Drosophila melanogaster: one gene and its partners. The protein of the gene in region 2 interacts with the protein of the main gene of each other region in a pairwise test. Each region holds a gene or a part of one and is shown on either strand. Other genes may lie near its edges.

Region 1 (6,938 bases), on a different chromosome or scaffold from region 2:
TTGAGATTGAGAGATGATCGCCGTGAAGCAAAATCCAAAAATTTGTCAGATGCCGGACAATGTCAATGGCCATAACGAGCTGAGATCTTTGCTGGTTCCCCAAGGTGCTGGCTGCAATCTCCTTATATATTTTTCCGATGCTTGAAATTTATTTGTATTATGTGGAAAAAAGTTTGGAAAGGACAAGAAACTGACAAGAAACTTCAGTTTCTCCAAAGTTAATTACTTGAATTTTTCAACACTTCAATACAAGATTCCTGACAACCACATTGTACCTTCTCCACTAAGTGGTTGCAATCCTATGGTAATCGACGATCAACTCTTTAACAAGCACATGAACTGATGGACTAACTAATGGGCAAGCAAAGTGTTTTAGGCATTCGCTGTTCTGGTCAACCGAGGTGTAAGCACTCATGTTCCCTGTCGCCTGAAACGACAGGATGTCTTTGTTTTCCGCAAAACTTGGGCCTCCGAAAATGGTCAAGACAAGCAGCAGGCAGCATGATAAAGCGGGGGGAATGAGTTTGTTTTCCCTGGTTGCCGTGGCTTCCCTGGAAAAGCCGCAGGAAAAGTGAAGGTGGTGCAATTTGGAGTCTGGCCGCGCGATTAGCTAAGCGCTGCGACCATATAATCGCATTGACAATTCCGATTTGTGTGCGGGAGTCGAGGAAGTGCTCCACTTTATGGCAGTCATAATTTCATGTTTGAATGTTTCGCCTCGATAGGATTCGGAATGGGGATTTTCGAATTGCGATTTGGTCCGCTGGCCTGGCCTGGACTGGCTGGCCGCTTGTCCGATTCTATCGAATGGGTGTCCATTGTGTTCGCGGCAATCTCCCTCCGCCAGATTTGCATAACAATTGCTGACTGTAACCTTTCGCCCAATAAGTTAGCTGCAGCTCCAGCTCCAGCTTCAGTCTGGACTCCAATTTCGACTCGGATGCGGCCCAAGTGGCCAGCTGCAGTTGCTGGGCGGCAATAAAACATTTACCACCGAATTAGCCCAGTCGGAGAGTAGTTCAAGTAGTTTAAGTGCAAGACCACTTAAAATTCAGTTACGACTGCTGCCCAGTTCGGTTCGGTTATAGTTCAACTTTCGCGTTAAATGAACCTTTAAATAAACTTTCCATTTTATTTGGCGTAGTTCAGTTGAACTTGAGCCTAACTGAATTGTAATGTGCAGTCACGTGCAGTCATTTAGCAGTTGAGGTGTTGATTAAAGGTCGCGAGGTACTAAAAGCAGCTACGAGTGTTTGAAATTGCACTAAAAAGAGCTACGCTATTTGTAACTTGATTACACTATTATCGAAACATTGAAACAAACAATTTGTTAATACGGCTAAAACGGCTGACTGGGGCGAATCTAACTCCAAATCCAATACGATCGAAAAACATTTCTCTGCTTCATCGATCGGAAACACGCCCAAATCCACAAGAGAATAACACACGAGATAGAGATGGACTGAAGGGGGGGGGGGGGGGGTCTCTCAAGTTCAATTGAGTTTCACTTTCCTTCATAATTTAAATTAACAATTATAGCGGATAATTAACAAAATGAAAACAAAAGCATCGAAGGCAACTCCCCCTGAGCGGCTACGAAAAATATTATTACAAACTGTTGGATAATTTATCAAATGAGCTGCGGATAGGATAGGATTGGGTAGCTGGGCGACGATGAAGTCATTACCACAGACAAAAAAGAAACCACACAAAAGGAGAGACAGGCCCAACAAAAAGACGACGTCACATGTGAAGCGGATCAAATGATTTCGTCATAATCGAGCAGCAAATTACTATTTTTTCCCCCTAATAGAGTAATAAAATTGCCCAACTCTGGCCGAGAAATTTACTTTAAACTGAAAAGGAAGTGGAACCTGAATGGTAGCAGCAGGCTGAAAAACAAAGCTGAAACTGAAAATCGAAACCGAAATGAAATGTGGGGAAAATTAAGAAGAAAACGCTAACAATAAATCTTTTGGCAATAGAAAAAACAAAACCTGCCACAAAAAAGGCCCAAAAAGCCTGTTCACAAAATTGACTTTCGAACACAATTTATTTTTATATTTTTGTCTGCTTATTTCGATGTTATTTTTTTTTTTTGTTTTACCAAATCGCTTGAGAGTTTTTCTAGCCAGCGATTTAATAACCCGAATAAAGCCCCAAATAAAAAACAATGAAAAATTAATGTACGATCCATTCAGGTTCATCATCGACACGAGATCGAACCGCAACCGGGGAAAAAGCCAAAGGGAAAGGCGGCTGGCTCAGAGTGTTTGAAGCGGGCTGTAAGGCTTTGCTTTGTCGCCACTTTAATTGGCTCAAATTAAAGACGAGCTGGGATTGGGTTTTAATGGCAACGTCTGTCGGGTAAGGGGTGGTGGGAGGGGGGGAGGTGGAGAAGATGCAGCTGCAGTTTAGAGGCGTCACTTTATTCCGCTGATTAATGAAGAAATTTCCCCTGGAAGCTTGCCGCCTTGTTAACGACTTTATGTGTGACTATTCGCAAATAACAAAATGAGCGAGGTGAAATTAAATTTTACAAAATGTCCCATAAAATAATCAGTCAGCCATGGAAACCACTGGGGTCTGCGGACAACTTTAGTTGCTATAAAATGTGTAAAATGGAAAGTGCTGACCACGAAAGGGTGTTGGGTACGTAATTTTTACGAGAATTATTTCCTTGATGTAGGAAAAAACATGCATCATTTAATTGTAAGTATAAAAATTAAGCCAGTCCCGATGGCATGACCCAAAAGTTTATCCTCGCTCTATACCAGAAAATAAAGATAAGTTCGATTTGGTTGGCAATTTATTTATGTCGGGTCAATTTCTAATGGGGTTGTGCTACAATAATTTAACCATGGTAGATGTGGTGTCCATAGGTGGGAACAGCGTAGGACTTCAGCACAGGGACATGCTGAACCACTGGGACATTTTTCACCACCGGAACATGCTGCACCACTGGAACATGCTTCACCACCGGAACAGATTTCACCACGGGCACCACCTGGGCCACAGGAACCACTCCGTAGGAGGGCTCAATGTAACCAGGAGCAGCAAAAGCCATTGCTACCAGGGCGAAGATTACAGCGATCTAAGGAGATATTTTGTAATATGAAAAATCCTAAGGATTTACTTTATAATTTCGTGAACTTACAATGCGGAACATTTTGGTATTTTGTTGTGAGTTAAAAACTTTAACTTGTGGTTATCGAACGTTTGTGTTAGCCGGACGACTGTTGTTGATTGACCATCCGTGGAATCATTATATATAGTAGTTAGCACCTCAGCCGAAAATAGCCCACAAATGACTTCTGTTCGAACGCCACGCGCCAAACCAGTTTAATTATCTTAAATTTGGTATCTTCGAATAATGCGCATTCTATTTGGTATGAAACCATCTCCAGCGGCGAACTTCCCGTTATCGGTCGTTATTGCTTAACCTTTGGACATAATCCCCATTCAATGACTTCTCAATTGTTTGCTGTTTTTAGATCCGTGTGCTTATTATTGTTTACTTCCAAGACCATTGTCATTATATCGATCGTCTTCACGCGTTTGTGATGATCACCAAGAACCAAGGTCATGTCCACAAAAAAAGACCTATATGAGGCACCTTTGGGTCAACTGATAAATCCATTCTCTCAATTAAACAGAAGAATTATGGCCAAACACGTTTGCCCATTTAGAAGTTGTTATTGAAGTGATTTTTGGCTATATAAAGTAACTGATCCATTGGTCAGCATCACCAGTCGTCCTACAAGCATCCAAGTGACAATATCTCCAAGTCAAGTTTGTAAATTACTAAGAAAATACCAAAATGTTCCGCATTGTAAGTTCACGAAATTATAAAGTAAATCCTTGTGATTTTTCATATTACAAAATATCTCCTTAGATCGCTGTGATCTTCGCCCTGGTAGCAATGGCTTTTGCTGCTCCTGGTTACATTGAGCCCTCCTACGGTGTGGTTCCTGTAGCCCAAGTGGTGCCCGTGGTGAAATCTGTTCCAGTGGTGCAGCACGTTCCGGTGGTGAAGAATGTCCCAGTGGTTCAGCATGTCCCTGTGCTGAAGTCCTACGCTGTTCCCACCTATGGACACCACATCTACCACGGTTAAATTTTGGAAAGAGCTCAATCGATATCGCACGGGAATAAATAAAATGTTTATGCTTGTAAAAGGAATCATATTTGACTTACTTGTCTCAAATCAAATGCACTTCAAATGAGTTTACAACTTCTGTGATTTATTCGCAGTATTTGCAGTGTGTGCGGATTATTTTCTCATGTCCCGCCGAGTTTTTGTATCCAACAACCCATTAAGAGCTGCAACAGAATTTTCTTCGGTCTGGTCCGATCGGAAATTTTTACGCAAGCCGTAAATGCGCCAAAATCTGGAACACAAATACGTTTTTCTCTGTTTTCGCGTTAGGGGCTTTGTAGTTTATTTGGTGCGGATCGAGTGATAAAAGCCAAATGTGCGCCTCGTTCCAGGCACCCAAAAGATACGGAGATTGAGCAGTTGCGTGGAACACATTTGGCAGGCTGTTCGCTGGTGAATTGACTCTTTGCACCGACTGAAGGTGATTAATGGACGCCAAGAGGAGCGGAGCGGAGTGGAGTTCAGTTGCGAAGAGTTGAGAGTAGCCGTACGATACTTCTTAAACGGTAGTTAAAATCTAACTAACACGCGAGAGAAAGAGTTTGCGTTTGCAGAGTTGGCTGATGAAAACGCTTGCGGCTGGCATTGAAGACTTCTATAAAATGGAAAGGGGGAGGCTTTTCTTGCTGACCCACTTTTGGCAGACAGAAAAATGTATTTGCCTTTGCTGACTGGCTTGGCTGGGCACTCCAAGAATTGTTAACAGCAATTTAGTGGTTATTCGCTTCTTCTTCGGCTGCTAAGTGTATTTTATTGTTCGCCAATTGCTGTTGTTGTCTTGTTAACGCTTTTTATAGCCGCCTTTTGCTTTTCGGCCAACTCTATTTGTCGAGTCTTTCTCTCCATGCAGATGTATCCCACAGATACATTCATTAACTTGTTTGCAGTTACAGTTTCCCTGTTTCCCCTCGCCGGTGATTTATGCTATCGCCAGCGTTTGTTCGTATATTTAGACATTTCCTATGTGTTGTCACCTCAATTTTTTCCTGCACTTGCTCAACTTTTTTATTTTAATTTTATTTTTAGGCTAATTAAAATAATCAGGTAATTGTGCAGTTATGAGTTATGTCTCAAGTCGGCGGAGAAGAGGAAGATTGTGTGAACATGGCAGACCTCAAATCTCGTTATGACTATGAATATGCATTGGCGCTTGATGAGATCCCCTTCCCCATTTTGTGAAGAAGTTAAAGGCGTGCCCAGGCAATTAGTTTGGAGTTGGGCCCTTCCATAGAAACCTTCAGGGCTATTTTGGCACGTTGTCAGGAGGTGGAATGCTGGAATCAGGCGTTGACTTCGGGCGAAACTTGTTCTCCACACCCAGTAACCATTGAATATAACAGGGCTCTCTAGTTAAGATGGGCTCATAAATAGAATAAGTTACAGGCAGCTTTTGACTTTAATAGTTCGCACTTTAATGGATGTTGAAGGACTATGAACGAGTTCGATGAGATCATGATCCTGTTTTAACTATTAAAGTTTTTGAAAAGTTCAATAGCATTCATCACTTATTTTACTTCCATTGAGTAAAACTTAAAGCCAAAACCTGAGCGAATTTTCCTCCCCATCTCTCAGTCAGATATGTGATTGATTTTCCAATCTTTCTCCACAAAGTCTTTAAGAGCACTCCGGCCTGGCAAACTGGACTTAACGTCGATGTCATCCATATGCTTGTGGCGCGGCCGACAAATAGCAAATAAGGGAAAAACTTGTCAGCCTCGCACACGTTTCCTTCTTCTGGCTTTGGATGGCTTCTTGGAAAAGCGGGGCCAGCACAAGAATCTCTTCTATTTCCTTGGGAAATATCTCTGGCATTCGTGTTGTGCGTTGTCTTTGATTCTTATATATCGAGCTGGGATTCTGGTCGCTCTCGTTTCGAAGAGATGAGATCTTTTAAAAGGCAGTCGTTGCTCTATGATCTACTTTATGCATTAGTTTTCAGTTCGAGGCGCGTGCGAAGACCACAAATCGATGCAGGAAATCCGATTTGTGGTAAAAGTTTTCCTTTTTTCTGCTCCCCCAGTTTTCCTCATCTGAGTTTTGCTTTACTTTGGTAAGTTGCCGTTTAAAGTTGTTGCACTAAGTAGAAATATGTGCAAAACGGTGGTTGTGGGGCTTCTGAGAAATCAAAGCCGGTGGTCTCGAAAGGCGGAAGAGTGAGGATTTTGGTGGGCGATAGGTGCCAAGTGTTAAGGGTTGTCGTGGGTTAATAGTCGTTAAACGTCAGCGAGGGTCAGTGGCTTACCAGGGTCTAAGGATATTTGAGATGTGCACTTTTGCTTAGATGAGAAAATGCAAGTGAAAGAGTCAAGCTATAATTGTAAATAGTGAACTACAATAAGCCAATTTTAAATTACACTATAATAACTGTGTGTATGTATTTTGTCAATTTAAAACAAGACAGTTAAAATTCTGATCATCTAAAAGTCAATGAATTTATTTCTTTTATCGGCAGTATAGATAAATACAAACTTATCACAGGTAAACGAATATCTTTAATTACGCTCTATAATCAAATATAGAGAAAGTCTTAAATATTCCCAGAAGAGGCCATTTCAAGTCACTAGCAATTTGACTTTGCCTTTTTCTTTTATTCTCTGCCTTCCATCTTCACTATGACTATCTCATCATTAAGGCAAATCCGAAGAGGCTCTAAGACAATCGGATCGATTTATGCAAATGATACTCTAATCTTCGAGCGTTTCTTCCTGTGCCTCTCCGCCACCACGAAGAATAGCAATTCGTCATTATGGCAAACAAAGATCGAAGACCAGTTTTCACC
Region 2 (7,609 bases):
AAGGTAAGTGGAGTCGACTGTGAGATGAGTGACGATGGAAGTGGAAGTGGAAGTGGGATTGGGTGGTTCACTAAATGCACTCATATTACAATTGCAGAATGCGCAATCGATGCAATCGCTGCAGGGCAATGGTCTGGATATGATCAAGCTGGATAATTATGCCTACTCGATGGGCTCGCCATTTCAGCAGGAGCTGCTCAATGGCCAAGGACTCGGGATGAATGGTAATGGCCAGCGAAATGGAGTCGGTCCCGGCGTTCTGCCCGGCGGCCTATGCGGAATGGGCGGTCTGAGTGGAGCCGGCAATGGAAATAGCCACGAACAGGGACTGAGTCCGCCGTACTCGAATCAGTCGCCGCCGCATTCGGTGCAGAGCAGCCTGGCGCTATCGCCCCACGCCTACTTGGGTGAGTTTCAAGTCTACGAAGTATTACAAATGGGTTTTTATGTATTAATCTATTTCCATTTACTTGTTACAGGCTCGCCATCGCCGGCCAAGTCGCGACCCAGTCTACCCACCTCGCCCACCCACATTCAGGCGATGAGGCATGCCACACAGCAGAAGCAATTCGGTGGCAGTAATCTGAATAGTTTGCTGGGCGGTGCCAATGGCGGGGGCGTGGTCGGCGGAGGAGGAGGTGGTGGTGGTGGTGTTGGCCAGGGGCCACAAAACTCACCCGTAAGCTTGGGAATCATCTCGCCGACGGGCAGCGATATGGGCATCATGCTCGCCCCGCCCCAATCCTCGAAGAATAGTGCAATAATGCAAACGATATCACCCCAGCAACAGCAGCAGCAGCAGCAACAGCAACAGCAGCAACATCAGCAGCAGCAACAGCAGCAGCAACAGCAGCAGCAGCAACAGCAGCAGCAACTCGGAGGCCTGGAGTTCGGTTCAGCGGGCTTGGACCTGAATGGATTTTGTGGATCTCCGGGTAAGTGGTCACTCATGATGGACTCTATGGACTAGCTAACTAGCTAACTAATCATTCTACCATCCCAACTTGCAGACTCATTTCACTCGGGTCAAATGAATCCGCCCTCGATACAAAGTTCAATGTCCGGCTCATCGCCGTCGACCAATATGTTGTCGCCGTCGTCGCAGCACAATCAGCAGGCCTTCTACCAGTACCTAACGCCTTCGAGCCAACATTCCGGCGGCCATACGCCGCAGCATTTGGTCCAAACGTTGGATAGCTATCCGACGCCCTCGCCGGAGTCACCTGGCCACTGGTCCTCCTCGTCGCCGCGATCGAATTCCGATTGGAGCGAGGGCGTTCAGTCGCCGGCGGCAAATAATCTTTACATATCCGGTGGCCATCAGGCTAACAAGGGTTCCGAGGCCATCTACATTTGACCGTGATCTGGATGATTTGGTATGTTGAATATCGCGCAAGGATAATTGGATGGCTTGCCAAGGATAACAGCAAAAGGGGACTCTTAAAGAGTCCGCGGCTAAGTTCGATCTAAAATATGCTATATATTGTAATTCTCTAATCTCTACGGATTATGTATTTTTTCCAACGACTCTTTTTTTTTTTTTTTGAGTGTGTCTATAAGTTTTAGATGTTAGTGCGAAATACGCAATTCTAGCGGAAGAAGCGTCATAAATTGTAGTAACTTAAATTTTATTTAATGCTTGTTGTACAGTGCGCGCCGATCGCATATATATATATATATATAGATATTGATATAGATATATGTATATCTACTCATAGATATACCAGTTAAGAGCTCGTCTTGTGGCGCATTTTATTTTATTGTCGTAACGTCATCGTAGCTTCCAGTAAAAAAAAAAACAAAAAACAAAAGAATCAACATAAAAAGATGAGCAACTAAACTTAGCGCAAATTCTGATTGGATCGATTAAACGTTTGTGGGACAATTTGTAGTTGTAAGTGACCATTATATCACTAGGCCATAAGACTACGCTAAGTTTTTTTTATCGAATTCTACATTATTAATTATGGCCCCACATGCTATATATAAATACATAAATTTCGTAGTTCTGTAGGTTTTGAAACTGAAGTGCTTATATAAACAAAATTGTTAGACCGTACACCGCATCGAACCTTTTTTTTTACACCAAGTTTTTTTTTTTTATTATTATTATTATTATTATGACTATTATGTATTATTACATATTGACTAAGCTAAACTGTAAAAAGATTCTCATAACTGTTTGATTTAAGTTGACACATACAAAATACAAAAGGATTTGCAAAAAAAATTACACAAAAATCACCAATGGAAACGTATAAGTCTAATTGAAAGAAAGAAAGAAAAGAAGAAAAAAAAGGAAAAAACCACGAAAAAGACAGTAACCAGCCAAGTTTACTATATATATAAGGACACTCGACGATCTACGATCTAAGTTGATGAAAAGATATTTTCAAAAAATATGCAACAGAAAGAAAAAAAACGCACACACTTAGAGAAAACTGCAAAATACGAATTTTCTCGTTCGATTTGCATTAATTTTAATTTGAACGGTATTGCTTTCTTTCGTCTATATTTTGTGTGTAAGTTTTTAATGTGTAAATTGTAAAATTATTTGTTTTCCTAACTTAAACAGCCAGACAGCAAAACGAAACTGCAAACTTTTTGACATAAATAATAAATATTAAATAATTATTTTAAAAGCCGTGTGTTTATTTCATTAATTATATACATATACAACATATAAAGGCGAATTTTTCAGCTCTGCGTTGTTGCAGCTGGAACAAAGTTTAAATACCATATTTCATATTGGAACTGCGTGGAGTTAACCTTTAACCTTTAACTCTTGACACACACACACACAAACCCGCAGGAAAAGAGCAGTTTTTTCGCGTGTCAAAGTGTACATTTAATTGCAAGTTAATTATACTTTAGACGTTCTTGCCGCTCTTCAAGGGCCACGCCCCCTCCCCCTCCTTTACCAAACGATCGCCGCCCACCACGTTGGATTTGTGTCCTTGTGTTGTGTGCGTTGTGTTTTCCGCTCTTATGTCAAAACATAACAAAAAAAAAAAAATGTACTATGTGTTAAATTACAATATTTGGAACATTTCGACTAGATCTCCTTCTTGGACTCGTCCACTTCCGTTTCCGCTGCCATTGCTGTTGCATTCAATGGCGGATTTTCAGATTCCTCGGCATCGTCATCACTGACGTTCTCCGTCTTCTTGCCGCCCGGAACGAAGGGGCAAACGCCGCCCTTGCACTCGAATGGGAAGTCGGGTCCCTTTTTGATCACATTGCCATCGTCGTCCTTCTTCTCCCAGGGATTCCAGTAGCGCAACAGGATCGGCTGCACAAATTTGTGCCAAATGTACAGAAGCAGTGGAATGATAATACAGGGCACGCAAACCATTGTTCGGGCTTTAAAAATGGTTAGTTATTGGCGTTGCAAGTGATTACAACAATTGCGGAACGTACCTATTTAATGTTAGCTTACTGGCTCCGGAAAAAAAGTATTTCTCGCTTTGATTTCCTTAATTCAACTATTTATTTATTGTCAAAAATGTCAGTGTAGCCAGTTCACTTGTGTTTGGTATTGAGCCTAAAAACGCCACGCATATACTGTTATCTTAAAAAAAAAAAATACGTACTCTCTAGCAAAGAACGCAACCGGTTGGACTAATATAGTCCGGACTCGAACCAAACCGTTTGAAATCTATTAACCCTTATGTGCACACCTTAGCTTTTTTTTTGCTTTTTTTTTTAGATTTTTTAACACCATGCGCATTTACAATACAGTTGAAATTTTGTCATATCATATATTTATTTCATTTGCACAGTGCTTAACCCATCAATGGGCAACGGTAGGGAACGCCAGAGCGACAACAGTACTCCCTGCCCGCCTGCAGATTGGTATTAACCCATTGATTGTGACAGTTCTTGATGAACAAATAGGCCCGTTCCTTGTGACAATCGTGACCCAGTGCGGAGCATACTATATTTGCGGAATTCGGCAGATGTTGTACGATCTAAAATGGACGAAATGGTGAGTTATAGAGCGCTTCTCCTCATCTTTTCCTCCTCGTTTCCCCAGTACTCACCGTCTCTAGGCATTTGGTTTGACACTGCTTGCGACCGATGGCATTGCAGGGAAACATATGATCCAATTCCTGGTGGATAAGTGGCTTTGTCGGCAAGCCATTTGGGATTTGCGAGGAGAGGAAGACGCCGCATGTGCACGGCACTGGCTGATTATCCTGCACAGGCAGTCCCGCTGTCGGTGGCAAGGGAATGGTGCTAACCAGACTGCTGCTGCTCGATGGGTTTGTGCTCATCAGCGGACTCGCGGTGGTTGGCTCCATCGATCGTGTGGATCCTTCCGACGATCCGATGATGGGTGCCTCGCCAACGGTCGTTTCGGTGGTGCCATTGTTACCAATGGTTTCCGTGCTGGCTTCCAATTCGCTTGCGGGCGTTGTCATAATCACAAACTCAACGGCCGTGGGCCAATCCTCTTCGGCTGTTGTGCTGCTACTTGCAACACCAGTGCTGCTCATGGTGCTGGTTTCCAGTTTGACGGGCTTCGTCTTTATACGCTTGTCCTTGATGATGTTGCTATTGCCATAGAGCGGCTTCTTGTAGACTATCTTGGATGCCTCCAAATGGATGGCTAGCAGAAGTGTCAGCAGCAGCAGGGAATTTTTAAAGGCGCCTGATATATGAAATATATACGATATGAAATGTGTTCTTTAGCTAATATTACTTTCAAAGCTTACCCATCTTGGTATCTACGGAAACACTGAATACTTCTGCCTTTGCGCCATCCATTTTATATAAGCCATTTTCTTACTTGGCTTGCAGTTTTTCAAGATTTCGGTCTTCCATTTTAGTCGGCCCCCAACGAAGTTCAAGTTGTGAGAACCGGCAAAATTGTGTCAGGGTTAAGTCTGATTAAGCAGAATTTTCACACAAAGCGAGTGGAATTCATTCATTTGGAGGAAAGTGAGAAGAAAGAAAAAGAATTACTTCCGAAAATTATGCGTAATCAATAAACCCAAAAGTTGTGTCTTGAGCTGCACAAAGTTTACCTTACCGTTCTAAACTACTTTCCAAAATCTTTTTAAATATCCCGCCAAACTGCAATGAAACTGTTATGATTATAATAACATAATGGATAACATAAATAAACGGCCGATTAAACAGCAATTATTATCCAAATTATACAAGTTATAATATGGTAATATTAACAAACATTTCAACATAAGCAAAGCTTTGGTTTTTAATCTAATTATAGATTTAATTTAATTTTCATTTTTTGGTTTGTTTTTCGTTAAGTTAGTATTTTTTGCGCTGTTTATGGAACTTAACAGAAATACCAATCAATATTGGGCGGCCAACATTTGAAATATAAATACAGATTATCGATATGTATCTTGAACGAAGTTTTAAATGTTTGTTATTTGTTAAACTCAACAATCCTATAGATTTATGCCATAAAAATGTCAAAATTATCGTTGCTTCAAATGATTTAAGTACAAAATTCGAGTTTCGATAAACGGTTAACAGTGCCGTACTCACCACGGTGCGCCCAACAGCACGCACACACAGCCGGCTGTGGTGGGTTCGCTGGACAGGCAGTGTGGTGAATATACTAGTTGCTGGAGCTTGCCGCAAAAAAAAAAAAAAAGAAAACAAAACAGATCGAAAAACACAGCAAACAACAAAATTATACGCCATTAATTACCCGATAAACTTACCGATGGCCGATAAGCAACGGCTAAGTGATCCGTAACACCCAGCGATAAGATCCAGATAAGATTGGAATTAAATTTTGGGTTTGCCATCCGCATCGAAATCGCCGCAATCGGAATTTACTTGTACACCAGCCAACTCGCCGTTCAAGACGTCCAAGTTTTTTTTAATCCAGAAATCCCATACACTGCCAAAATGCCCGAATATGTGCCGGCACGGGGCTTCAAGGAGATGGAAAATCTGATCAAGCTGTACGAGAACCAGCGCAGCCCCATCTACATCTACTTCTACGGCGAGAAAGACAAGGACGGACGCAGCTGGTGTCCGGACTGCGTGGCGGGTAGGTGACGAATTCTCCTCGCCCAGCGGGGCGTTACTAGTCCAGTTGGGCACTCTACATTCTGCTTATCACGCTTCTCATTTGTGGGTTTCAGTTAGTTACTTTCTACCCAGCTAACTTGAGTTACTTTTGATTTGATTTTCGCTCTCCATTGAGAGTTCCATCTACATTGTACATTGTCCTCATCATTTCGATTCATTTCATCGCAGAGTTATAACATAACATAAAGAAGTGACATACATTAAGTTAATCCCATTATCGCTGATATTTTCCAGCCGAGGAAACTATCATGAGTGCCTTTCGCAACCACGCGCCGGCGGATTGCATGATCCTGGTGGTGGACGTGGGTAGCCGGGAATCCTGGATAGGCAAGGACAACATGTTCCGAAAGCCGCCATACTCGGTGGAAGGCATACCGACCCTTATACGCTGGAAGGGCGTGGAGCGCCTGGATGGGGATCAGCTGCTCAAGTCGAGTCTTCTGGAGCTCTTTTTCGAGGAGACCGATCCGAAGAAGTCCAATTTTGTCGCCCAATAAAACGCGATTTGGCTTTGGCTTAAACTCACTCCCACTCTCAGTCTCTCTCTCTATCACTCTCTCTCTCTCTCTCTCGCTGCGGCTCTCTTTCTCTTTGCTGCTTTGCGCTCAACTCGGTGGAAAGAACGAGTGAAATTGTCGTTGGGAGGGGTGGTGCTAAAAAAGGGGGGAATGGAGAAATGGGGGAGAACAGAATGAGTGGAGCATTTCTGGCTGGCAGCGCGTCGCTCGGCATTTACTCGTTTATTTGCACGCATGTCGTCGACCAGGACGAATCGTTTGGCAGAGCGCGGCTGAAAAAGGAATCGAAAACGGGGCTATAACGGTAATAGCGGCACACGCGTCCAACGGTAAACACGCGTGCCAACGCGCCATCTCGCTCGCACGCGCTAATGCCGCGATTTAAGTTTTGTTTTATTTTTTGCAAGTGTTCGAATCAAAAAGCCTAACAAAACACAAAACCCGAAACAGTTCTCAAGAAATACATAGGTAAATGCAAAGTAAGATATGTATATATGTAGCTAAACATAGCGGAAAAGCGCAGAGTATCATTGAATTTGAAGCACACGACCGCACAGTTTTGCAAGCTGATTAACTGTAAACATGCTGAACATAAACAATGGATAAAAAAACATGATAGATCCTGCCTAAAAGTGAATGGTTATAAATTAAGAATGGGCTTGCAACGGTAAATCCTGTTGCGTTTTGCTTTAACTGTTTGAAAATAAAAAAAAATATATATTTAATAATAGAATAATAAAAGGTTTCGTAAGTAAAGTAACATCAAAACTAAACTAAAGGTAAATGTATAAATTGATCAAATGTTTTAAAAAGTAATACGTTCAATATTTAGCCAATGCAAAACCAGGCAAACGCAATTTACCGTAACTTCTTAGCCAAAAACCCTGTTGCTTCGGCCGCGTTGCATATTAATTGTGTGGCAAGACTGTTGCTTCTTCTCGTTCGATTTGTTTGGTAACTTTTACGTTAAATCATTGACAAAATCAATGAATAAATAAATCAGTAGCCAGATGACA
Region 3 (6,128 bases), on a different chromosome or scaffold from region 2:
AGATATGTTGCACCAAACTAAAACGTGACCATGATGTTCCAGTATAACGATCCCAACGCACTTAGAAATCCCTCGCTCAACATGAAAACACAGTATATGAAACCATTTGAGGAGGGTTCCCTTCGCTTTGTAAAGCGAAAGATGAAGCCCATTTCTAGTGTCAGTCATGAGTCGTATGTACTTAAGGAGCTGCCGGAGGAACAGGAAATATTGCCTGTAACAATGCCCACTCCGGTGGTAGCCACCAAGCTAGTCATCGACCGTTCGGAGGCGTCCTTTAGCAAGTACCTTGATCCCTCCTCCACCACATACAATCTGTCGTATGTGCGCTGGGGTCCCGAGGACTTGTGTGGCGGAGTAGCTGCCCACGACAATATTACATACTGGAATTGGACGGAGAAGATGCCGCCCATCCAGAAAGTGTCCCGCGAAGAGGATCCTACAATGTGTGACGAGGGTAATACGCATAATTGCCCAAAGCGACGCTGTGAGTTTCAAAACCTCACCAAACGAGTGCCGCATTCGGGAATGGTCACCGAGGTGCGCGCTAATTTCACGGATCCACAATTTCGAAGGGTTGAATTCGATCCAGAAGTTAAGCCCATACTCGTGCACGAGGAAGTCACTCCGTTTGCGGAGAAAAGCGAATACGGCATCTACGGATCGGGAGAACCAGTTATCAAATACGTTTAGTTCTCTACACATTGTTTTGACTTTTTGTCAAGTTAATCAGATCGCTAACTTAAATTATTTGCAATACTTATTGACATTAGAACGAATAATTTTATTGCATTAAATAAATTCTGGATATTATTTAGATGAAAATTTCATTCAAATGAGTTAAAGCTGTGGGGAAGCAGATGGTAGGCGGACGTGACCAGCACTTCAGCTTCGTCCGGAATTGAAGGAATGCAGTTCTCTTGCTCCGGCGGCGGAGCCTTGGCAATGTAGATAGGAATATCATTTTGGATGAACTCCAAAATGAACTGCCGGCAGACTCCGCAAGGTGTGGTAAACCCATCTGGGTGATAGGCTACCACAGCACCCGCCGTATACTTCTTCTCGCCCTCGCTGATACCCTTGGCCAGGGCACAACGCTCCGCACAATTGCCTGGAGTGAAAGCTACGTTCTCGATGTTGCAGCCCGCGTAGATCCTGCCGCACTTCGCACGGAAGGCTGCTCCCACTTTGAATTTGCTGTAGGGCGCATAGGCACATCGACGGGCAGAAAGAGCCGCCTCTAGCAGCTCCCGGCCATCCTCACCTGGAGATTACGGTTTGATTACCAATGGCAGAGGATTCACCATTATAGCCAAGCCTTACCAACAGCACAGAACGCTACTGTGTACTCCTCCAACATCTGTGGATGTGGCAGGTTTTCGGATTCACTAGCCCGACCCCTGTCGCCATTTAGACGCGCCTCCCTGCGTGCTAGCTCGCATAGAAATCCCTCCAAGGTCATCATATACTTTCCCAGTACCTTTCGAAGATTCTTCTGGCGCAAGTTCTTGATCTTACCGCCAGCGCACTTGGTGCCAGATTGCTCCTGGCGACGAGCTAGCTTCGCCTGCAACATTTCCAGTTCCTTCATCTTCTTCTCCAGCTCTTTTCGCTTCAGCTCATCCTGTAGGTCGCTCAGGTTCCGCATGTAGCGCTGAAGGAGCTTCCGCTTTTCGGACATTTTGCAGAACTTCAAATTTTTAAAACGAAAACAATTTTTGAAAGCCAGAAGCAAATGCTGTATCTGTTGGCAATTTGTAAAACACTAATGTCAAACAAATTATTTTCTTTTTGTTTCTTTTTCATAAAAATGATTATATTATATTATTTAGCGCCATTTGAATTTTTATTACATTTATTACAGTTGATGTTCATTAAGGCATTTAATGAAACAACAACAACAACTAAATACGTTTAAAATTTTTACAAATTAAGAATGTCGAAAAAGCTCGCGCGTTTTCGACGCGTTTCGGACGCGTTTTGAACGCGCCTTTATCGCGACATCGGTCTAGCCAGTCTGTCTTATTGTTCGTATGAACATCATGATCTCAAAAACTAGAATCCAAAGGAATTGGAAACAAACCTTATAAATTTGATTTAAAAGATTGCCACTACCACAATGATCTTTCTTATTTTCGCTACTATACAAATGGCGAAATTTAATCTCACAATAATTTGGTGTTTATGAATCAGAAGTTGAGTGCATTTATCACGTCATCACAAATCGGGGCATTCCCTGCATTGCGCTTAACGTCAGCAGTTGTCAATCCAAATTCGATATCTTTAATTTATAACCTTAATTTTGATATATAATCAAAAGCGATTAAACACCTTTTCCTAGAATCTTTCACTGTGTCAATCTTTCCAGCATTTATATCCCCATTTCCTATTCATTGATCGAAAAAAAAACATTAAACACTGCTAAGTAGTGTAATTTTCTTTATTGCAAGTGATTAGATCAAAATTATATTGATTAGAGGCAGCAAGGGGTTGAGAAACAACCTTTACCTAGCTACCTTCTGCCTATTTTCGGTTCTTGCCTGCAGTGGTCGTTACTTTCGATAGGTGTGAAAACTGCTCGGCAACAGATTAAAGATTGAGGTGCACATGACGGGATCGTCACTCTGCAAAAGTTCCTGCTTTTCAGCAATCCTCGCATCGATCGCCTGGGCCACATATATGGGTATATCCGCGTTGGCAAACTCGCGTATAAACTGACGACAAACGCCGCAAGGAGTGGTGAATACATTAGGTTCGTAGGCCAAAACAGCACCTGCCAAAAATTCGGTGGCTCCTTCGCTTACGGCCTTAGCAATGGCCGTTCTCTCGGCACAAGAGCCCGGCGTAAAGGCGGCGTTTTCCACATTGCAGCCAGTGAAGATCTTTCCATCGACCTTGGCCCGAAAAGCAGCCCCAACTTTGAAGCCACTATATGGAACGTATGCCCGCTGGCGCACTTGAAAAGCAGCTGTCAGAAGTTCTTGAACCGACGGATCTGGAAGTCGAAACAATGCACGCCACGCTCAAGAATTAAACTTAGATCTTGTCAATGAGTGTAAGGAGTATTAATTTATAACATTATTATTTTTAATATCATAAGAACCACTTTGAATAATTGACAGTCGTAGATATTTAAGGATTGTTCTCAGATTGTTCTCAATCTCGAGAAGGAATCTTACCCAGACTGCCGAAGGTCACAACCTCCTCATTCTTTTCTGGACGTGCGAAATTTTTTGTCAGATGTGTCATTATAGTTCAATTCTTTTGGTCAATAGAGGCACGCCTATTTTCTTAAATTTTGAATTATTTTTAGCAAGTTGAGTGCGTGTGTTTCTCCTTTGAACGTCCGATGGCAAATGGACGGTTTGTGGTGACGGCGGCGCCCGAAGTTGGCTATGCTGATAGCACTCTCCGCCGTGTAGTGGTGACAGAAATAAACATTTGGCCAATTCGGAGCGCGAGAGAGAACCAGGTATCAGGCTGATAAGCAACGATCGCGATCGCGGAGAGCAGTGAAAAACACAAACAGATGCCGTATCTCGTATAAGCTATTCAATCAACAAATAACGAGGGGTGGGTTTACAGAACATTATAAATGGGATGTCACATAAACTATTGCACATGGATTGCACCCTGTCCGGCTGGGCTGGGCTGGGATATTCTTTTCTATTTTCCGTTGGCGAAGCTAAAGCCGTTGGGCAGCAGTTGGAGAACGCTGGTGCAGAGCACCCTCAATGGAAGATTGGTCGGCTTGGCGGCGTACAGGGGGATGTCCTTGCCGTTGACGAACTCCGAGAGGAACTGCCGGCAGACGCCACAAGGCGTGGTGAAGCCATTATCCTGCTGGGCCACCACTGCACAAGCCACAAAGTCGCGTTTGCCTTCACTGTAAAAATGTGTTATTTTAGTTATTCGAAAGGACTTGGAGAGGATAATTAAGTATGTAAGAATTTAAGTAATAGTGTTGTCATTACAGATTAACATTCCTCATTGCTGTCAAGGGTTATCTCAATATATTGAAATCTAAGTTTTTAATCCAAGATAAGCTTTACTGTGACTAACGCTTTACTTTCAGTATTTCCTGTGGATAGATCTCAAGCGATGCGTATGTGACCCAGAGAATATTGACCCACTGACCTGATGGCCTTGACGGCTGCAGTGCGCTCTGCACAAATGCAGGTGGCATACGCCCCGTTTTCGATGTTGCAACCGGAGTATATGGTGCCATCGCTGGTCCTCAGGGCGGCTCCTACGGCAAAGTTACTGTACGGACAATAAGCCTGTTTTCTGGCTTCCGTGGCTGCCAGGATGATCTCTTGAATCGAAGGATCTGCAGAAAGGACCACAAATTATAGTGACATGGCAATGTTTCACGACTTCGTACCCAGGCTCTGGAATTCCCGTACATTGAGATCGTCTCTGGCACCATTGATAAACACCTGTGTCATGGCCAAGCGATTGTTAATGAATATTTCACAATAGAAGTAGCAGCTCAGCCAATAAACACAGCACCAGTTCTCACTTCCAACGCAATGGCAACTGCTGCAACAGCTGTTCGCTGCAGGGGCGTACACAGAAGTAAAGTTTATGGGGCTCTAACATTGCTGTTCCACAAATGTAGAAACATATTTCCAAATACATACCTAAATAAAAAAAAGAATTTGTCAACTTTGCGGAGTTGAAAATTTCGTGTGACTACGTTTGTACGTGGTCTCTGGATCCCCCTTTCAGACGCCTCTGCCATACAGCAATGCTTTCCAACACTGTCAATCTCCATGTCAATAAATACTGAGGTAGATGTGAGTGAACTGCGACTGCTTTATTTTCTCCTTATCGTACAATTAAAGCCCAATTGGAATTGTTAGCGACTCGTTTCATGGGCATTACGGCCGGGAAGACCGTGAGTGACTGTTCTTGTGGCTTCCCCGCACAAATATCAACCTAATACAGTGTAATAATGTCGACAAACCCAAGTCCGCAGCGGCAACAGTCCGAGGACGTTCAGATCTCGATGGCCAGTTCCGGAGGAGGAGCCGGCAATGGCGTTCCGGATAGACTGCCTCCGATCAACGTAAAGGACCAACGCTTCCCCTACTGCATCGTTTGGACTCCCATTCCGGTTCTCACCTGGCTGATGCCCATGATCGGACATATGGGCATTTGCACTTCGTCCGGTGTGATTCGTGACTTCGCCGGCCCCTACTTCGTATCAGAGGACAACATGGCCTTTGGAAGACCCACCCGGTACATAAGGTTGCACCCCAAGCACATGGTGGGCGGCAGTTACGCCTGGGACGAGGCGGTCTCCAAAGCATCTGTGCTCTACGGCACCCGCATCCACAATATCTTCTGTGACAACTGCCACTCGCATGTGGCAACGGCACTCATCTACATGCGCTACTACGACAGCACCGCATGGAACATGATTATCCTCAGCATGTGGCTCTTTGTCTGCGGCCGCTACGTCGGAATAGGGGGTTTTATTAAGACCTGGCTGCCGTTTGCCATTCTCCTGTCCATCTTCACCATTCTGGGCATCTATTTTTAATATTCATATCTATATCAAATGCTATCAATGTACAAATCTATGTACATATGACGTCCAATAAAGGATTCATTCATTTATGTATATGTGTGCTTTTTGTAGTCCCACCACAAAGCAGATAAGGAAAATACCTATCAGGCAATTAAGTTGGTCATTCATTAATGCTTCAGCAACTGTGAAAATACAGATTTTCAATTACTAGTGTTTAAGATAACGTTTATTCAGTGGATATGTCTATAGTTAGTACATATGGCTACGACTTAGTTTGGCATGTGGATGAACTTCAATTAATTCTCGATCGCGCGGGTGACTTCTTCGGCCACTTCAAGGAGTTTCTTCCATTGAATTAAAGATAGGGAGATGCCCTTCTTGCCGGGAAGAATTTGGCCGCCCTTATCGTAGAACTCTCGAATGTCCACCGATTTGCGACCGCGGAACTCGTTGATTCGCACCTGGCGAAGTCCTTCCAGGGTCCAAGATGTAGCACCATTTTCGCCCGAATCTTTTGGATCTGAATTTGGAGCATCAGATTCCTTCGCCTTCTTGCTTGCCGGCTTGATACGCTGAAAGAGGTTTTAACTTG
Region 4 (11,028 bases), on a different chromosome or scaffold from region 2:
CAGAATCTGGTGGACTGTGCCGATGACTACGGCAACATGGGCTGTGACGGTGGCTTCCAGGAGTACGGTTTCGAGTACATACGCGATCACGGTGTAACGCTGGCCAACAAATATCCGTACACACAGACGGAGATGCAGTGCCGTCAGAACGAAACCGCCGGACGTCCACCGCGCGAGAGTCTGGTGAAAATTCGCGATTATGCCACCATTACTCCCGGGGATGAGGAGAAGATGAAGGAGGTGATTGCCACGTTGGGACCGTTGGCGTGCTCCATGAACGCGGACACCATTTCGTTTGAGCAGTACAGCGGTGGCATCTACGAGGACGAGGAGTGCAATCAGGGCGAACTGAATCACTCGGTAACCGTGGTGGGCTATGGAACGGAAAATGGACGCGACTACTGGATCATCAAGAACTCGTACTCTCAGAATTGGGGCGAGGGCGGCTTTATGCGCATCCTCCGGAATGCAGGTGGATTCTGCGGCATCGCCAGCGAGTGCAGCTACCCCATTCTGTAGGCTCACAACTGCGCCATGCAATTAGTTAGATAGTATAGTCAATTAAAAACCACGAATTTATAACTTTGTTACTGTAGTCGTAAGCTGTGTGGGTCACCACATCGATTCCATGAGTCACGCGGTTAATAAATGAAACAAGTGCCTTATCGGTTTGTGTTGCTTTCTGGGGAAATTCTGAGAAATTGGATCGTAGTCTTAACGGCTATGCACACAAAAATTAATTTTCGGTCTTATTTATTTTTTGAGAAACATTTTCTTAATGAAGAACAACGCTGTGTGGGAAGTTGTTTGAGAAAGTAATAAATTTCAATTTGGCAAAGTGGATAGAAAATGAACAATGCACACATAACCGTATAACCGTGTAAATTTGCGACAAATTTAATATAAACAAGAAATAACGCTACAGTCGGGTGTCACGACTAATGCATACCCGTTAATCAGAAAAAGCTGCAAGCAGCGTAACGTTTGTTTACAGCATTTGTGTGGAAAACACATACATATCTAGAATGTAGTTGTTACATTCCTATCAACGAGCCTAGTATTCCCGCCGAGTAATGGGTATAAAAACGGGGCTTAAATTTCAAATTAATTTAATTCAATACTATTGCAACAAATCATAAAGCAATTATGCCAGTTGTTATATATTTGGTGGGCAAGGTCACGTAAATGCAGTTACTCTTTTAAAAGATCAACACTTAAGAGAAAAGAGAGCAAAAGAAATCGCTCTCGTTGTCGGTTTTTATTTAGATTTCTCTCTGAATGCAGCTGATTTTGAGTACTTGCAATTATATATGTATGTATTCCCCATATAATTCGCGATTCTGGCAGTGCGGAGCGCAGTACGAGAAAAGTGTTCAAGATGACCTCAGCTCGAATTTTACTTGGCGTCCCACTGCTCCTGTATTTGATGGGCGTGGCTCTGGGCGTACCAGTAAGCACATCATCACCTGCTACACAAAAAATCAATCCAGAGATTGGGGTTACTACTGGGAAAAGCGACGCTGACTCATCGACACCCACAATTGAACACACCTCTGGCTTATCTGAGTTCGAGGAGGAATGCCAGTTTGCATGGCAAAGGTTCTTGGTAAGTTTTTTGATCGCATAATTCCAAGAAAGGGTATCGTTCAAGGAAGTTATTTGTATACACTCCAAGGTCGACTTTGATGTACACTACGATAATGACTACGAACGGCAAAAGCGACGTGATATATTCTGCGAAAATTGGCAAAAAGTTCGCGATCACAATTTGAAATACGATTTGGGAGTTGTCAGCTTCAAGAAGGGTATCAACCAGTGGAGTGATCTTACCTTTGAAGAGTGGAAAGAGAAACAAACTCCCAAAGTTATGCCAGAAATCGCTAGTGAATCATCAAAGGAGGAGCGAGACAAAGTCAATTGCCAGGCTGCATGGGAAAAGTTTTTGGTAAGATTAGCTAGGTTATTAAAACCAACTTGGTATTAATATGTATGATATGAATTACAGATTGACTTTGGAGCGCAGTATAAGAATGCAAATGAAACCGAGAAACGCCGCAATGTATTTTGTGCAAACTGGAGGGCGATTGTGGAGCACAATGTGCAGTATGAAAAGTGGGCAGAGCCCTTCAAGAGGGACATAAATCAGTGGACTGATCATACTATTGAGGAACGATCTAGTCCTGCTCCCGAGATTCGTAAGGAAGAAGCCACTACATCTACATCCGAAATAGATAATGATAATATCATATGCCAGCCGGCTTGGGAGAAGTTCCTGGTAAGATATGGTTGGGTATTTAAAGAATTTTTATTAAAGTTGCTTTTATCAATTGCAGATTGACTTTAAGCCGTCTTATCAAGATGATACTGAAACCGAAAAGCGACGAAATGTATTTTGCGACAACTTTAAGTCGATACATAAGCACAATGTTCAATTCGATTTGGGAAATATTTCTTTTAAGAAGGGTATAAATCAGTGGAGTGATTTGACCGTTGAGGAGTGGAAAAACAAACAACGACCTGCTTTTAATCCAGAGTTTTCTAAAGTTGAAGCTACTACAAAAATATCTAAGGATAAGAGGGATGATAATACATGTCAGGCAGCATGGAAAAAGTTTTTGGTAATATTTGGCTTGCAATGTAAATAGAATTTGAGAATTTGAATGAATATATCTTTATTACAGATTGATTTCGGTGCGAAATATCAAGATGAAAAAGAAACAGAAAAACGCCGAACTATATTTTGCGACAATTGGAAAGCGATTCAGGAACACAATGAGCAGTTCGAATTGGGAGTGGAATCTTTCAAGAAGGGCATAAATCAGTGGAGTGATCTAACTGTAGAAGAGTGGAAAACCAAACAACGACCTAATTTAGCTCCAGAGTTTTCAAAAGAAGAAACGACTACAAAAATAAGCAAGGAGAAGAAATACAAAAAAAATGTTTTTTAAAAACTAGATGATAAGATATTGTACCGAGTACATTTTCAGATGAAATGTTTGTCACCTTTTAAATACACGCAAAAATATTGCTACTAACGCAAAGAGAATACCTTAGTGATTTTGGGTTAATTTTTAAAAATATGTATTTATTATTATTTCTTGAGGGGCTGTCCAGTTGAGAATCTTGCTTGAGGAGTTTATCTATTACAATAGTGTTTCGCAAATGTTCAAGCCGATTTTATGGCTGGGTTCGCTATTTAAATCGATCATTAAGTTTTAAATGAGTAAATTTTGTTTTATGTTTCTTTCACTACCTTTTTGTTTTATAACGCACACGAACTCTAAATGATTAATTTATACTTGTATATTTGCTGAGATCCCTATCTCCTTGTTGCATTTAACAGGGCGCATTATTCGTATTACACATACAATCCGTAAATATATATAATATATATGTATATAGTATTTAATTTAACAAATACATTTGTAGGTTATCGCAAGTTGCTGCACTAAGTGAACGTTTTTATGTAATCAATATGTTTACATTCATTGATATCTGAGTACATCGAAGTGGACAACACACCGCTTCTTTACAATGCATAATGGGTATTGTTGGGGCATTTATAGTTACTATACAAATCTTTTGGTAGGAAGGGGGTGGCAACAGTAAGCCTTGAACAAGCCCTATACCATTTCATATCTTCAGCGTGTTTTTGCGAACCATAACTAGAAATATTCCTGCAGTAATCTCCCGAGTACTGAATCCCTCACAACAATTCTACGGTTATTGAATCTCTTATGGTTTAGAATTTACATATTGTTTGGCGTTTATTGTAAGTGGTTGCATTTGCTGCTCATCTAACCAAGCATCGACCCTGGCCACAGGTTCTATATTTGTTGGGTAAATCTCAGATGGTAAATTGGATATGTGGCTTGAGCAGTGTGGTTCGTACATATGTATGTCCTTCAGGTGGCCGAATCGCATCAACTATTTGCATCAACTATTTGCACTGCACGTGTGTAAATTTATCTAAAAAAACATCATGTTTTCCTCTGTCTCGAGCTATTGCCATTGCTAACAAGCTGATCATCGGGGGGACCAGGGTCTGGCACCAAAACAAATCAATTCAAATCAATTCAAATGGTACGTACACGTAAACACTAAATAACTAACAACGTTGAAAGCGCGGTCTGCATGTATACATATGGGATATATAACTAGTTGTATATCTGTATAATATATATATATATATATATATATATATATATTGCAACAAATTTCCACTACAAAAAACTGCACACTCAACTTAAAGGGCTAGCTTACGAGTTATTCAAACTACTCCTTATCCGAACCATCCCATCTCATCCCATCCGATCTCATATCGGATCGGATCGGTTTGGATATATCCCTTGACTCTTCCAATAGCTAAAGCCAGTGCTTGGATTGGTTTCAGCTGCTTTTGCTGCCTGCTTGTTGCATCAAGTGTTATTGTTTTGGTTACTCTTGTTATATGTTCGACATCGGTGTATATGGTTAAAGCCAACTTGTGTGTTGTAGCTGTTTAGTCGTGTAAATCCTTGCCAGTTGCACTACAAAATCGAAGTGAGTGTGTGCGGACAACGGAGGAGCAAGTGTGGTAATTCCTTAATAGGTGGGCTGCTGGTACTCCATTCCGGATTGTTGCTGCTCCATGCCACCTGCGGGAGAAAAACTCAGATTAATCAGGTGCCAAGTGTGGGAGAATCATCAGATTACATATTATAATGGTTAACATCAGTTAAGAACTAAGAATGATTAGGTACTTTCAATATATTGTACATAATGATCTAGGAATGGCAAGTTTATATCCCATCTTATATCCCAACTTATACTTTGGCATTGTATTAGACCATGAACTTACCCTGCTGGGGCTGGCCAAATGGTGAGGCGCTGTACTGGTCGTTGTCGTTGTCCATGGAGTAGCCGTAGGCCTGCTGGTGGACCACGTTGGCGGGATCCGTTTCGAAGGCAGAGGTGAACTCATCGCCGGCGCCGATCAGGAAACGCTTGTAAGCCATCAGGGCGCACAGAGCCTGCAGAAAGAAGCCCAAAAATCAGGAAACTTCTCCAACCAAATATGCAGAAATCTACTAACCCAGCTGACAATCGAGAAGAGGCAGAACCAAATGGCGGTCTTCATGCTGCCAGCTCCGATTCCCAGCGGCGGTGGGGCGGATGAGCTCCATTGCGACCACAAGTACAAGAAGGCCACGAAGTACATGAATGTCCAGAGGGCTGCGACGATGGATTGCCATTAGTTATGTGCTGTCAGAGGAATATATGCATATTTGGCCAGAACTACTTACCCGAGAAACCCATGTCGGCCATGACATAACGCTTTCTGCTCTTCACCGACGACATCCGTTCGAACAGGAACTCGCCACCCATGAAACCCATGGAGGCCAGGAACCCGAAGACGCCCACCATGTTGCCATACTTGCAGGCCATGCCGTCGCCATTATAGAGGCAGTACTCCTTGCCATCCTTCTCCGTCCAACCCTCCGAGGATATGCAGCCAAAGACCACCACCGAGAAGAGCTGGAAAAATCAAGAGAATTCCCAATGAATGAGGGCGCCTATTAACATTTAATGGTCCTTTTGTATGCACACAGAAATGTTGAAGAGCTGAAAATGACTCAAAGTGCCATTAAATCAACTATAAAGCTGACCTGTTTTAAAAATTTTAATTTTATCGTTTCAGTTTAATTTCAATCACTTTTGTGTGTTGTGAATGAAAGTACCAGAACGTTGTTATAAAAGTATGAACATCAAAGCTTGTGAACATCCTTTTTACGTGATTGTAGGTTCGAGTTTACTAACACTTTCTGCTGGCTAAGCTCTTACTTAGGTTTTTAATCCAACTTTCGGATTTTGATTTTCACATCATCATTTTCTTATGCTGATATAGAACTCGCACTCCATTATTGATTTTCTTGAGCAGGTGCAACAAACCAGAAGTTCAAGTACACAGACAACGCGGCAGACACGTACTTATGTTTGTGACCCAATTTGCGGAATGAAGGCCAAGTTTGGTTTGTTTGGCCAGGAAGAAAAGAGCGGGAATGGCTCTGCAATCGCAGAGTCCTTGGTCAACAGCGTGGGCACATATTACGTATACCATCGCAAACAGGCGGTGAGCTAAACGCCCCCTCGGTTATACCGTTTTCCCACTTCCCTGCTGACGCACATCCAGTCGATGGCAGAATGAAGTCCTAAGCCTAGTGGCCAATTGCCCGGGCACCTTACCACATTTAATTATAAAGCTTTCATGGACGTGAGAGTTTTTATAGTCCCTCTGCAGCTGAACACCAGAGCACTCCCACTATATCCTCGCTGCGCCCCTCTGCAGCGGGTGTAAACAAATCGGACCTTTGAGTGCCACTGCGTTTATGTGGCAACATTCACGATTTACTTAGATTCTCAAATTACGCACGTTTTCTGCCACATTTACGAGCTAGCCATTTAATCGGAATGGCACATAAAGGTCACTTTTATGGTCGCAATTTAAAAGCAATATTTATAAAAACCTAATTTTATTAAAAGCATTGGGAAAAGAGGGATCTTAAACGTGTTTTTATATTTTCATTCAGTTTGAATTAAGAAAAACTAGATAAGCTAGATATATTTTTAAAAGGCAATATATTCTTGTCATTCTAAATTATTAATTTTTTAAACTTAAGGGTTTGTAAATAAATTAAAGAAAATTCCTTTAATATTTGGATCACAATATTTTAAGCCTTTAGAAGGCATTATAGCAGCACGGAGTTGGCTTACGCAATATGTATGAATTTAAGAACATGTATATTTAAACGAAAAGCTAAGCAATGTTAAGATCCTATGTAAAAGGTCCTAGAAGAACTCTGCCCTCGCATTACTTCATGAATTATGCGCGGTGTAAACAGTGTGACAATCGGGTCATGTGAGTGGCGTGTGCGTCCACAAATCCCAGCGATTCCCCGGACGCAGCTTGTCCGAACCCGAACTCACCCAGCACAAGGCCCTGATGACTACTTGGGGCTTCATGGCGAACGTGAGGGGGTCGAAGGCGCCGCCAGCCTTGCCGCCCCCGTAGGCGCCACCGTTATTGATGCTGAGTATCTGGTTGAGCATGTCCATGGTGATGATGGGTCTCTGATGTCCGGATTGCACTGCTTGCTATTGGGGCGCTCTCCGCTTGGCGTTTTCGCTGGCTGTTGTGAAAAATCGAACGCTTCTTGGGTCCGTGGGGCCAAGGGCAATGTGGGGGCGGCTGGCCCACTGCTGTGTGTGTGTATATGTGTATATACAATATACCGTGCGTGGTGTGGGTGGGTGCGCTCGAGTGTCTTCACGCAATTATGGATTACGGAACGGAATGACAATCTTTGTACGCAATGCTTGTGTGTTTGCACACTCGCTTTTCAAATTCACTTTCCGTTATGCGCGCACACAACAAGACAATTCACAGCACTCGCTCGTGTTTCAATCAATGCATAATTGATGAACAAATTTCAAGGGCCTGATTTTCACTTTTACTTTTTGCCAGCTTCGCTCTCAACGCAATTTCGACTGCCAGCGCGCAGGACTCTTGCCAAATAAAAAGTATCTCAGAGCTGGAAGAATCTAAGCGCCTTATCTTGAGGCACTGTTAGGCTGTTCAGCTACAGCGTGCTGTTAAGCGCGGCCAGTGTGACCATCATTGAGTTTTAATTCAAATTGGAACTTTCGATTGTGGGGGAAGCACCATAAATTCATTGTTGTAAGAATTCTTGCGTTTGGAACTCATTCAATGGCTGCGTTTCACAAGACGAACATCTGCTGGTGCAACTGCCTGTCAAATCCGTACAAGCAGATACATCAAAAGATAAAAAATTTTTGTGCGCTAAATAGGAACATTTCTGGGAGTCTAGCTAAATTTCAGGTACGTGATGTTGGTAATCAAGCATTTCAAAAACAATAAAATATGATAAAACACAAATTATAAATACTCGTTTGACAACTTCCTAATCTGTTCCTTATTTCATTTTAAACAGCAGAGCTCCCAAGATATATTGTTTTATAATGGACCAAAGGTGCCACAACTCAACGATAAAGAGATCTACGAAATTTGCTGTAATAGCAAGAAACGAAATTCAATTCATTGTAAGAATAAGGAAGATAGTGCTTTGATAGGAAATACAAATTTTTCATCTGAAATGGAAGACAAAGAAAATCATGTACCGGGAAAACAAAAGAACAGAAGAAATCCTGCTAAAATGGAAGGTGAAACAATTAACCCATATGCAGTGTCGATATCAATAGCTAAAAGACCACAAGCATCGGTGAGCCGCAAGATTCACTTTTCACGACCCTCCCTTCAATTTACATTATCTGAAAGCACATCTTTTAAGTATGATAAACACGATGCCCAAAAACCTACAATCTCAAATAAAATTCCTAAACGGCACGAGGAACATGGAAGAAAGCTTAAAGACAACGTAAGAGGTCAGGATTCAAAAAAGTATGACACTATTAATCGAAACAATAAACGGGAAGGTGTGGACAAATTTCAGCAAAAAATTGACTTAAAGAAAACTCAAAATACTCGACCAACCTATCGTTTTGAAAAGAGGAATGATGATCATTTTCGTAACGCTTTCGAGCCCCAGAAACTTGAAGCAACTGTAGAAACGAAAAAGCCCAAGCCATTTTCTGAAAATTCAGAGCAAGCCCTGTTTAACCAATTTTCCAAACAAAGGGTATCCAAGAACAATCTAAGGAGAACAATGGAAGTGGACACATCCCTGGGCATTTACCGGATGACTAAGCAGGACAATGAGTCTAAAATCAGTTCAAAACCCTATAGCTCTTTGCTAGGAAAGGTAAATCGAGAGGTATCCAAAAAACATACGACACTGAGGAGTATGCACGAATTGAAAATTCCCGAAGAACGTCGTACTTCAGACCGGAGAAAAACTTCAGCTCCGTACACCGAGACTTTTGATAAAATGCTCGAGGGTAAGGCTAACAAAATTTCTGAGTTTCATCCAATTCTAAAGTCATCTAATCGCCTTGGACATTCCTCCAAGTTTTCCTGGGCATCCAAAGATAAGCCAAAGGACAGGCGGAGGACTGAAACAAGGACCTTTGATGAGCTATTAAATGACGGCGATATGAAGATGCCCGAAGATCATCCTTTCCTAAGAAGCAGGACTTTATTGAATTCCAAAAAAGACAAGAAGGAAAGCACAGGAAAGTCTAAGACAGATAAAGATCTAGAGCCAAGTAATGGACTCCATGATAGCAAAACCTACAGACATATGAAAGTCAATAATAAGAACCAAAATCACTCCAAACCATTTGGACAAATGCTAAGTGGCAAGGAAAAGATCATACCAGAGCTGAACCGGGCTTTAACCAGCCATTTTCGAATAAATCGTGTCGGAAAAAGCACAAGTAATTCGTTCTGGATGGACCAGGACCCCATAATGTCCACTTCGCTTTATGAGAATCTACCAATAGTCGAGGAGCCTGTAGTTTCGCAGTCATCTGAGAAAGTACTAAAACCGAAAAAGACCAAAGTTATGCGGCCCTATCACCAAATATCTGTTATAACAAAGCCAGAAATTTTGCAAGCTTTTGGGAAATATTCTGTGGCCAAGGAAGCGGGAGATTCAAAAAATTCGGATACAATTCCATTGGCTGCAAAGACCAAAAATAGAAAGTCCACGTCCCAGCCTCAGAGCACAAACCGATCTCGTACATCAAGTGAGTTCTCTTTCGGATCAACTTGTTCTTTGAGGAAACGCTTTGCCCCCACTCCTGGACGGAAGATTCAGCTCAAGAAATTCTATTACTACATAAAGGATTCAATGGCAGATCGGAAAGTATTAAACCAGATGAACTCGAAGAATCCCATTTCCTATTTGAAAAGCGAGAAAAGCACTTACTATGGCAGAACTCCCAGTCAGACGTCATCGGATAGGTACCAACCATCTGTAGGATCGATAATCAGCACTGTGGCCATTGCCCAATCTTTGATACCTAAGCGGCAGAAAGAGCACAACAAGGACGAACCGCATGCGGATGCGGACGCACACTTGTTCGCGACTTTTCCAGAGGACTACGATCCAGTTGATGGCATAAAAAAGACAATTAACGACATTATAGCCGGTGTGGCAAAGGAAGAGAAAGTCCATGAGAAAATCCATAAAAAATCCCAGTCGATGCGGACCAAGAACAAGTCCCGGATGCATGAATATGCCTTGGGACCACATGATAATCTCGTGAGCATCCTGTCCCTGAGGAGGACGAGCCAGGAGGTCAAAACTCGCGAGAGTCAAGCTGTCATGGATTTGCATATGCGGGAACAGATTCGGGAGTCTTTCTACGCCAACGCAAGACCATCTGTGCAGGCACGGATCGATAAACTGATGAAGGAGGTTGCCATTCGCGAAGACTTTCGACCCAAAAAGAAACCACGCGATTTTGTGACGGAAAATATAGTCAGACTCCGTAATATGCAACCGACTAAAGGATTCCAGGCGGTGGATAAAGGTAAACCGCAAAGAAAGTACCCCTCATTGATTAGAATATTGGCACCACACGAAGAACTTGTACCCAAGATTTCCGCGGATAAGATGTCGCCGGAAATGCATCCGCGGAAACCCGTTAGAGTACGTCTATATTCGGACAAAATCTGGAGGGACCAAATGGATACTTATCAATCGGAAATGAAGAAATCGCCTCCAGATGCTAAAGTCTGTCGTCTAAGTGAAAGGAAAAAATGTGATTGCTATCTATGCAAATTGCTTTTGGAGGGTAAGTTAGTCAATCTTGTATCTCTATCCTAACAAATAGTTAATCTCCTTTTAGACAAAAATCAACGAGAAACAAACTTTATGCAGAAAGCAATGGCCCAAAGGCGTCGATTGGAACTCCGTTCATATTATCTTGAATTACAGAAAAGGCAAAGGGATCGGAATATGAACTACCCTAAGATTTGCTAAATTAAATGATACTATATGGTTATCTTAGAAGCAAAAATTAATCATTGGAAAGTCATAAGATCTGTTTATCTTATGATAGTCC

Evidence for each region.
Region 1: the proteins of CG18508 (region 2) and CG34268 interact in a two-hybrid assay, tested with the Drosophila melanogaster proteins (one large-scale study listed by BioGRID).
Region 3: the proteins of CG18508 (region 2) and CG8372 interact in a two-hybrid assay, tested with the Drosophila melanogaster proteins (one large-scale study listed by BioGRID).
Region 4: the proteins of CG18508 (region 2) and Syngr interact in a two-hybrid assay, tested with the Drosophila melanogaster proteins (one large-scale study listed by BioGRID).

The regions. Positions count from the first base shown.
Region 1 is NT_037436.4:497,256-504,193, reverse strand, and holds CG34268 (uncharacterized protein), read right to left. Parts: upstream 3,230-6,938; 5' UTR 3,170-3,229; coding exon 3,158-3,169; intron 3,095-3,157; coding exon 2,855-3,094; 3' UTR 2,794-2,854; downstream 1-2,793. Other genes in the region: CG34267 (uncharacterized protein), read left to right, coding at 3,821-3,832, 3,896-4,117.
Region 2 is NC_004354.4:3,169,625-3,177,233, forward strand, and holds CG18508 (uncharacterized protein), read right to left. Parts: upstream 3,517-7,609; 5' UTR 3,421-3,516; intron 3,364-3,420; 5' UTR 3,356-3,363; coding exon 3,056-3,355; 3' UTR 2,644-3,055; downstream 1-2,643. Other genes in the region: N (notch), read left to right, coding at 1-3, 98-407, 480-935, 1,011-1,357; Fcp3C (follicle cell protein 3C), read right to left, coding at 3,786-3,971, 4,044-4,654, 4,719-4,770; CG3939 (uncharacterized protein), read left to right, coding at 5,890-6,034, 6,310-6,572.
Region 3 is NT_033779.5:8,211,539-8,217,666, reverse strand, and holds CG8372 (uncharacterized protein), read left to right. Parts: upstream 1-4,764; 5' UTR 4,765-4,957; coding exon 4,958-5,548; 3' UTR 5,549-5,628; downstream 5,629-6,128. Other genes in the region: CG8292 (uncharacterized protein), read left to right, coding at 43-693; CG8349 (uncharacterized protein), read right to left, coding at 828-1,264, 1,324-1,681; CG8353 (uncharacterized protein), read right to left, coding at 2,553-2,995, 3,180-3,249; CG8360 (uncharacterized protein), read right to left, coding at 3,667-3,886, 4,138-4,330, 4,385-4,448; Ssb-c31a (single stranded-binding protein c31A), read right to left, coding at 5,833-6,108.
Region 4 is NT_033778.4:13,838,700-13,849,727, forward strand, and holds Syngr (synaptogyrin), read right to left. Parts: upstream 7,557-11,028; 5' UTR 7,096-7,556; coding exon 6,967-7,095; intron 5,518-6,966; coding exon 5,286-5,517; intron 5,215-5,285; coding exon 5,075-5,214; intron 5,013-5,074; coding exon 4,841-5,012; intron 4,638-4,840; coding exon 4,585-4,637; 3' UTR 3,062-4,584; downstream 1-3,061. Other genes in the region: CtsL2 (cathepsin L2), read left to right, coding at 1-519; CG6357 (uncharacterized protein), read left to right, coding at 1,379-1,606, 1,676-1,945, 2,006-2,275, 2,334-2,618, 2,682-2,948; CG30484 (uncharacterized protein), read left to right, coding at 8,154-10,758, 10,813-10,946. UniProt on the Drosophila melanogaster protein: Required for the correct formation of synaptic vesicles at nerve terminals and has a role in the regulation of the synaptic vesicle exo-endocytic cycle.